Cricetulus griseus: one gene and its partner. Each later gene encodes a partner of the first gene's protein in a complex. Links are inferred from orthologs where the notes say so. Each region holds a gene or a part of one and is shown on either strand. Other genes may lie near its edges.

What was found. The genes of interacting proteins can lie anywhere in the genome.
Region 2: Satb1 (region 1) and Hoxb2 share a complex: the UniProt entries of both Homo sapiens proteins name them as parts of the nuclear protein complex. The link is inferred for Cricetulus griseus from reciprocal best matches to the Homo sapiens genes SATB1 and HOXB2.

Annotation. Positions count from the first base shown.
Region 1 is NW_023276806.1:251,346,072-251,350,131, reverse strand, and holds the start of Satb1 (DNA-binding protein SATB1), read right to left. Parts: upstream 2,801-4,060; coding exon 2,590-2,800; intron 1-2,589. UniProt on the Homo sapiens protein: Crucial silencing factor contributing to the initiation of X inactivation mediated by Xist RNA that occurs during embryogenesis and in lymphoma.
Region 2 is NC_048600.1:109,508,616-109,512,945, forward strand, and holds Hoxb2 (homeobox protein Hox-B2), read left to right. Parts: upstream 1-1,561; 5' UTR 1,562-1,598; coding exon 1,599-1,980; exon of another isoform or gene 1,981-2,015; intron 2,016-2,371; exon of another isoform or gene 2,372-2,766; coding exon 2,767-3,449; 3' UTR 3,450-3,830; downstream 3,831-4,330. UniProt on the Homo sapiens protein: Sequence-specific transcription factor which is part of a developmental regulatory system that provides cells with specific positional identities on the anterior-posterior axis.

The DNA of each region.
Region 1 (4,060 bases):
TGCTTGTATCGGCTCCATACCCTGGACTCACACTGGACTTGCAGATCCCTACTAACTTCTGACCGAGGCTTCGGATCAGCATTTCCTATTGCCAGAGAGACCCTTTACAAATTCTCTATTTGCTCGTTTCTGCTGAACAAAAGCCGGCCATAAACCAGCTACATCTTTCCACATGTGTGTCTTCACCAAAGCTTTGTGAACTGTTCACAAGAGATTCCAGCTCTGACAATTAAACCCCTTTAGGTTTACTTAGAAAAGCTCACAAACTCATTCGGAAGTACCAGCAGGCTAGGCATGAAAAACAAGCCGCAGAGCTTGCCAATATTCTTGTCATTCATTCAGCTGTTTTATACCAGAGAGAGAACCCGTCAGGGATCAGAAGAGAACTTGGGGAGACCGCAGCAAAAATAGCAATATGCAAACTGGTGATTTCTTCCTTGGCTTGAAGGTATTTTGGCAAAATCTCTTAAACAAATAAAAACACCCAAGCCCCCCCCCTTTTTTTAGTGCTTTCTCAGCTTAGCCACAATTTTTATCTAGCACCTGTCAAACAGAAACCATGCACATGAAAAATAAGATTTAAAGAGAAAAAAAAAAAAACTACTGAAAGGCTTAGAATTTTTTGCTTTTTGTATTAAGCTCAGAACCTTCTACAATTAAACTGTATTTTTAAGATTTGGAATTTCGAATGTAATACATTTTTTTGAAGGTTTTGAGCAGGAATGTGATGATCCTGCTCTGGCTCCTTCTCCCTGTCTACTGGTATCTATGGAGTTGGGTTAACAAGCCAAAAACATGTATATTGGTTTTTCCTCTCATGGAATCAAACAGAGGTCTCAAGCAGGGAGCTTTTCAGACCTCAGCTCTATGAAATAACTGAAACCTTTTCAAACCACAGAAACAGTCTGGGTTGACTCTGTGTTTTATTGATCAAATTTAAAGGTGCCTTATAGATAATAAAGGTGGCTACAGATAAGGTAGCAACAGGGTCATCTAATTACAAAGCTGGTGCTAGGTCGTCTGAGAACTGTCACGGTGGCCCTCCTCTTAGAGGGAGTAACGTTAAACAGGAGCCTTCGCTGGACTGCCTGATTATTCGAGCTGGTGCTTGGCCAGACTTCCAACTACAGCAACTTCATAGCCTTCCTGCATTAGAAAGGGAGAGTACTGGTCACTGCTGAAAGCTAAAAATACCACATGATTTAAACCTGAAGGCAGTCTTAGAGGCTTTTGCTGGAGGTTTATGAGCCTGTGTAAACAGCACGGCTGCCATAAGGAGCAGTGGAGTCTGTAGAATCCTTGTCTAAAACTGTCCTGGCATTAAAGTTTGCTGTGCAAATATCACATAATACCAGAGACAGCTGAAATCTCCTATTTAGGAATTTATGGAACTTGTGTTTGCAGGCGTCAGAAAGTCTTTTTTATAGAGCCTCAGTGCTACACAGTACAATATTAATGCACTCTGTTTGAAAAGCCATAATAAATTATATTTTTAATGCTCTTGCCCTGGCTTAAAGATGCATACATTCTTGGCAAACAATCAATAAATAGGGTAATCATGAGTAGAGGCCAAAGAATTTGCTGAAGTGCTGTTTTTCCATTTTTAATAGATAAAGATCTAACAATACGGACTGCTGTGTCTGTTTATTTCAGGATCAATATATTCTTTGTTTTCGCCAAACCAAGGAAAAAATAAATGATTGTATGTATGATAAATGTTATGCATCAAACACAATGAAATTCCTCGGCCTCCTAACTTTCTCTACTTAATATTCGTGGTTGGTAAAAGATGGCATTTTTATTCTTTGCTTAGCAAAACCCAAAAAATCTGACTCCTATGTGTTATTCAATCACAAAATAAAGACCCTTGTGAGGCATACGGGATACCCCACATAGTAACTGCCCTGTGGGGACAACAAAGCCCAACACAGGCAAAGTTGTTAAAACTCCATCAATTTAATTTTGGTAGAAAATCACTTGTTTATATTTTCCCCTTTATAAACTTGCCTAAATTTTCCTTTCCTTTACCAAAAATACTCAAGGATAGCAAAAATTAACAACTACAATCAGCAAGTTTTTCACTGTTAAATATTACTTTGCTCTACAGAAAATAAACCACAATAAATTGCATCACAAATCTTTGATCTCATGTCAGATCCATGTCCTGAAATCCCCTTCCAGTTAGTAATCGCAGGAAAAAAAAAAAAAAAAAAAAAAAAAAAAAAAAAAAAAAAAAAACTACGATGATGCTTAAGAACCTCTGAGTTTTACTCTTCACCAGCCAAAGTTCAAGCAGCAGCCACCTGCACATCTGTAACTGCACCAGTGTCTACGAAGGGACCTGTGTAAACGAAGACTATTCAAATATTCCAATATTCCAGTCTTGGGTCAAAAGAGGCACCACTCAAAACCAGCACTCACGCTTTTAAGACATGATTGACACTACAGCCCAGAACATCACTTAATTTCACATCAGAAAGAGATCTAGAAAAAGAATATACACAGCATGTTCCAGTCCCACACCTCCACATAGGGTGGCCTTGGGCAGACACCAAGCAGCTTTCCAGGATTTGGCTGCTAAGTATTTACCTTTCCTAAGGTTGGCTTTCATCAGATGGCCCGAGTGTTTTAAAGGCACTCCCTGCATCTTTGCACCTGTGCTCCCAAGCCTTCCTCTTCCTAGTGGGCTTCCGTTCTGCTCCAGGCGGGCAATCTTGGCTGGTGGACCCTTCGGATCACTCACATTGTTAGACATTTCTGAATGCTCTTTCCCCTGAGTTGCCTCGTTCAAATGATCCATACTCAGTCACTGTCTTACAGATCACCTGCCAGAACTGGAAAAGAAGACGTTATCAGTGGGTGGAGGGCTGTAGTGATGCCTGCCCCATACACGTCTTATCCCTAGACATTTCTCTCCACAAACACATTTGTACACAAGACCCTGTTTCTATATAAATTAACAGAATACTGGGGAATCTGTACCAACGTACGTGAATAAAACAGTAATTTCTCAGCTAAAAGTCTGAGGAAAATAGGCTTACTGTCAGAACAAGAATACCACAAGGTAAAAAGAAAATAAATTATATTCATGTACTCTCAATTTTTAAAAATTAAAAATTTATGAAAGACTATGACTGCAATACTTCTAATGAAGAATGGAAAGATTATCAGTATAAAGCATCAATCTTACTAGGAGCTCATACTTTAACATACTTCGAAAACCTATGTTACAAATGAAAACCTCAGCAGAGCACTGCAAACACCCATTGCATTTTAAATTGCCACTTGCTTTAGGAGCTAAGGCAGTGAGAAGTTTTCTATCAGCTATGCTTCAAGAGTTTCGAGCTGTTAAAGATCTCAAGCCTCTGGACAAGCACGTGACCCCTAAGCACACAGGAAGGGCTCCTTTAAATGTCTCATAGCTTTAAGCAGGACAATTTGTCTGTTGGAGTTAATATTTAGGTGTTCATTGCTAACTGGGTGCTGTTAATTTAGGTAGAAAAGAACCTGAAAATATTTTGTGATACACACAAAAAGTACATATGTGAAGCTTGACTTAAAAAATAATCCCCATACTATTGACAAAACACAATATCCAATGTTAAAAAATAATAATAACCAGGATGCAAGGGAGTTAGCATCAACATAATTTCAAAAAATGCCAATTTTCAGTTTTATTAAATATTAGGCTTCAACTTTAAATACTGCTCATAATAAAGCAACTGGTACAATATAGCAAAGTTACTTCTAAATTAAAGCTATTTAAATAGCTTTAAATAGGGCCAGTTAACAGAGCAGGTAAGCAGAATTATGCTCTAAACTTTCATTAGCCTTGAAGTATTGGGGATATTTAGGAAAGCTACAGAGAATATGACAGCTGTCTAGTATTTTGAATTATCTTATATACTTTAAAAAATTATTATTATACTCAAACTCTTTGGACCTGGATCAGCTAAGAGACAGTTTGTGTTAGCATGGCTTTTCTATAAACATTTTTCTCTCATTAAGTCCATTCTTACTTCATGCTATAGAATCAAGAAATGGGAACAGGCATATATGA
Region 2 (4,330 bases), on another chromosome or scaffold:
ATTTCCCATCTGTTTCCTGGCCCTCCCAGAATCACCTTTCTCTTTTGCTACCCCCTCCCTCAGGCCTTTTTAAGGGATGTGGAATTTAGGCTGTTCCCTCTGCTTTCCCAAAGAGCCAAATTCTTTGAAGCAATCGGAGGGAGCTGTCAGGGGGTTAAGATTGATCGCCTCATCTCCTCTTGGTCCCTCTGACCCACTTATTTAAAAATCTTCCCCCAGATCGACTTTGCATTTTCAGCTTTGAGGCCTAGTTTCCCACCAAATTGCTTGTGGCTCTGAGTTTTGTGTCTCCTCCCTCTAGTAAATTACAACATTCTAAAGTTGAGCCTATCATAATCTTCTCACAATAAAATACATTAAATTTTCCCCTCTGGGGGCCGTAAACAGAATATAATCTCAGTGCTGGTCGTTATTTCTCGTCCCTTCATCTTTAGGGAACTTTTTTAAAAGCAGGGATTAAAAACAATTGCACAAAAGCCAATATGGGAGGGAAAGTCCCTTTGTCCTGAGGGAAAGCGCCCCCCCCCATGTATTGACTTTAGCTTTGAAAGTTATGTGGATGGCTACCTTGTTGCCCTTGGATGTAGCCATAGATACAACCTGAGGACTATGAATGTGTCTGCCATCTTAGACCTTCTTAGACCCTCCCATGGCCAGTGCTGGGGTGTCAGAGTGTGAGTATAGATGACCTCAACAGGAAGGCAGGTGGATGTAAAGGGTTGCCTGTAAATACTGGGCAGAGAAGAGAATCCAGGGCAGCTAACAGGAGAGGGAGACCAGTGCTCCAAAGTGCTCCTGGCACCTGACTGCTTCGTGCCAGCCTGTGCATTTCTTAAGTTTGAACTGCTGCATGTAGAGGGTGGGTGGGACTGGGCTGGTGGTGGTTAGTGTTGCCATTCATCAATCTCCGTTCTGATTTTTCACCTTAATATTGACCTTTCCCCCAAAGAGTGGAAACCTCTTTCTACTCCCACTTCCTCCCGAATGAGCTTTTGCTCTTTTGGGGGGTGGTTGGAAGGGTGAGAAGGTACTGATGACCACATAAAGAAAGCATATTAATTGACTCAATTAAAATCTTTAGACAAGAAGCCCACTTCTCCCTTAAATGTGGTCCTTTGGCAGGTTCCCACCACCACACAGTTTCTGAAGGGGAGGAAGTGGTTCTTCTGGCTTTTCTTGGGGGGAAAAGGAGCAATTGGGGAGAGTGTGGGGCGCTGGTATTGGAATGGGGGTACAGGAGGAAGGCTTATGGTATCCAGGTCGTGGTCCTCTGGAGTTTTTGAATCAATTAAAGCAAATAATGCCTGTGTTTTCCACCAGGCCCAGACGAGCGATTGGCGGAGACCGGTCCCGTGACCATGAATTCCCTGCAATTTCGTCGGAGTCCTGGGTTTAATAGAGAGAGTCCCCATACGCGTGTATTTATCAGCAATATACAATTATAAAGGCCTAAATTTAAAAAAAAGAGAGAGAGAAATCCCCCTCCCCCGCGAAATCGCTTCATTGAATAAACCTGGGGGGGGCGGGAGAGGGGGTCCCTTCCGATCCTCCCTCCTGACGCCCCCCCCAGCAGGCCCCCTCCCCCACCATTGAAAGCCATGAATTTTGAATTTGAGAGGGAGATTGGGTTTATAAACAGCCAGCCATCGCTCGCCGAGTGTCTGACTTCCTTCCCCGCTGTCTTGGAGACATTTCAAACTTCATCAATCAAGGAGTCGACATTAATTCCTCCTCCTCCTCCTCTGGAGCAAACCTACCCCAGCCTCCAGCCCGGCGCCTCCACCCTTCAGAGACCCGGGAGCCAAAAGCAAGCCGAAGATGGGCCTGCTTTGCGGCCACCGCCACCACTCGCCGCCCCCCCAGCCCCCGAGTTCCCCTGGATGAAAGAGAAGAAATCCGCCAAGAAACCCAGCCAATCCGCCGCATCTCCTTCTCCAGCAGCTTCCTCGGTCCGGGTCTCCGGGGTCGGATCACCTTCAGGTGGGTAAGCGTAGTGGGGGCGGGGTGAGGGGCAGCTGGAAGAGAAGGGAAGAAAGTGAGGTGGTGGGGAGCCTGGTGGGTTCCCTGTGTCGATGGATTCTGGGGTTAGAGAAGATTATTCCGCTGGGGTCCAGGCCTAGCCACTGCGAGCACCAACACCACTCCCCCCACCCAGCAGATTTTGGAAGCTGACTGGGAGGGGGTAGGGTGCTTTTTATGTGCTAAAAGAAAATGGTTCGATTGAAGTGTTTCCCCATTATCTGTGTAGAGGAATGAAGCCTTGTGCCTGGGATTGAATATGAAGCCAGGAAAAGATGCGATCCTCCTATTTCTCCCATGCCTAGGAGAACAGGGGAAATTCAAAAGCCAGGAAGGAAAGGGGTGAAGATACCTCTTTCCCGGTTGAGGTGGAAAGTTCCGAATTGAGGGGTCCATTGGGAGGACTGAGGGAGGGAGGCTCTGAGGTTCTGGGAGCGAAAAGGAATTGCTCCCCGCCCCCTAGGTGGCCCGTGGGCGGCTCTGAATGCACCGACCTGACCCCGCCAGGTCTTCCTGCGTGGGAGAGCACAGAAAGAAAGAAAGAAAGAAAGAAAGAAAGAAAGAAAGAAAGAAAGGAAATCTCACCCCCCCCAAAACCAAAGACACAGAGAGGGAACCACTTTGGGGGGTGGGGTGGGAGCCCGAGTAGGAGTGCTGATCATTTATTAGCGAATGGGGTGCTCCTGATCTCAGCTAAAGCCAGGCTGGGTTGAGACCTCTCTGAGGAGCAGGGTGCTTTCTTCGCAGATGGCCCGGGATTGTCGGAGAGCGGCGGCGGCGGCTCGCGCAGGCTGCGCACGGCCTACACCAACACGCAACTGCTGGAGCTGGAGAAGGAGTTCCATTTCAACAAGTATCTGTGCCGGCCGCGACGCGTGGAGATCGCCGCCTTGCTGGACCTCACCGAAAGGCAGGTCAAAGTCTGGTTCCAAAACCGACGCATGAAACATAAGCGGCAGACGCAGCATCGGGAACCTCCGGATGGGGATCCAGGCGGGCCGAGCGCCCCGGACGACTCGGGAGACCCAGCAGAGGAATCCGCAGTCAGCCCAGGCCCTGCCTCCGCCTCTCACCGGCTGCGAGAAGCTTGCTTCCTCCCGGCCGAGGCAGCGCAGGGTCCCCAGGGCGCACCGCCGCCCGCGCCTCCTGCCACTTCCCTGGAGAGTATGGGCGCGCCGAGCCCTGGCTGCACGATGCTCAGAGCCCGAGGCCTGCAGCCAGAGACCCTGCCCGAAGACACCTGTCCTGAGCAGCCGGATTCGCCTTTCCTGCCGGACCTCAACTTCTTCGCTGCAGACTCCTGTCTCCAGATGTCCGGAGGTCTTTCTCCCAGCCTGCAGAGCTCGCTGGACAGCCCCGTCCCCTTTTCCGAGGAAGAGCTAGACTTCTTCACCAGCACGCTCTGTGCCATCGACTTGCAGTTTCCCTAACCTTTTTCTTTCCTCGATCCTTTCCACCTGGTCCTCTTTGGCTGTTGGAGGAAAAAAAAAAAAAAATCGAGCCTTCTCCACCCCTAGTCAAATTTATGTGTTTTGCTAAAATCAGGTGTTAATGAATTAGCGCTTAATCCACTCCCTATCACTTTTTAAAACCACACAGAAAAATTCCACCTTCCAACGAAATCTCAGGAATAATTAAACTCTAGTGGGGGAGGGTTTTCTTAAAAAGAACGAGAGGGACCTATTTTCCTCTTTTTTAAGTTTTAGATGGTAGATTATTTATTAAAATTGTTTAATAATAGGAAAAGGGGAAAGTATTTATTGTACATTATTTTCATAGATTAAATAAATGTCTTTATAATACGAAAACGAGTGTTTGTGTTGGGATCCAGCTCTTTTTCCCAAGTCCCTATGGCCAGTCTTCGCTTTTCCAGGCCTCACTTGAGGTTGGTCTGGCTCGGGCGACCAAGCGGTAGCATGGCCCCTTTTCCCAGGCTGGCGAAGTCCGGGTGGCACAAAAGTGGCCCTGCTTGGTGTCACTTCTCTGTCCACGACACCAGGATGAACGGGTAGTTTAGTGGAAGCTTGGTCACCAAGGCCAGCAGTCGGCCTTTGGCCCTGTTCGGATGTTCCCTGTCTCCCTGCTTGGAAATAAATTTGGGGTGGTGGACAGAAGCAAGAAAATGTCTCAGGGGCCGTCAGCCTCGAGTCCTGGAGTCGGCACGGAGTTAAAGGAATTAAAGGGAATCCTCTGACTTGCTAGCCTTCTGGCTTCAGGTGCAGAAGCCAGGATGCGATGCTGCAAGCCTGGGCCGAGGCCTACGCCCGAGTGCTGCTGGGCTGCAGGTCGCTTAGGACTGGAATCGGGCCTA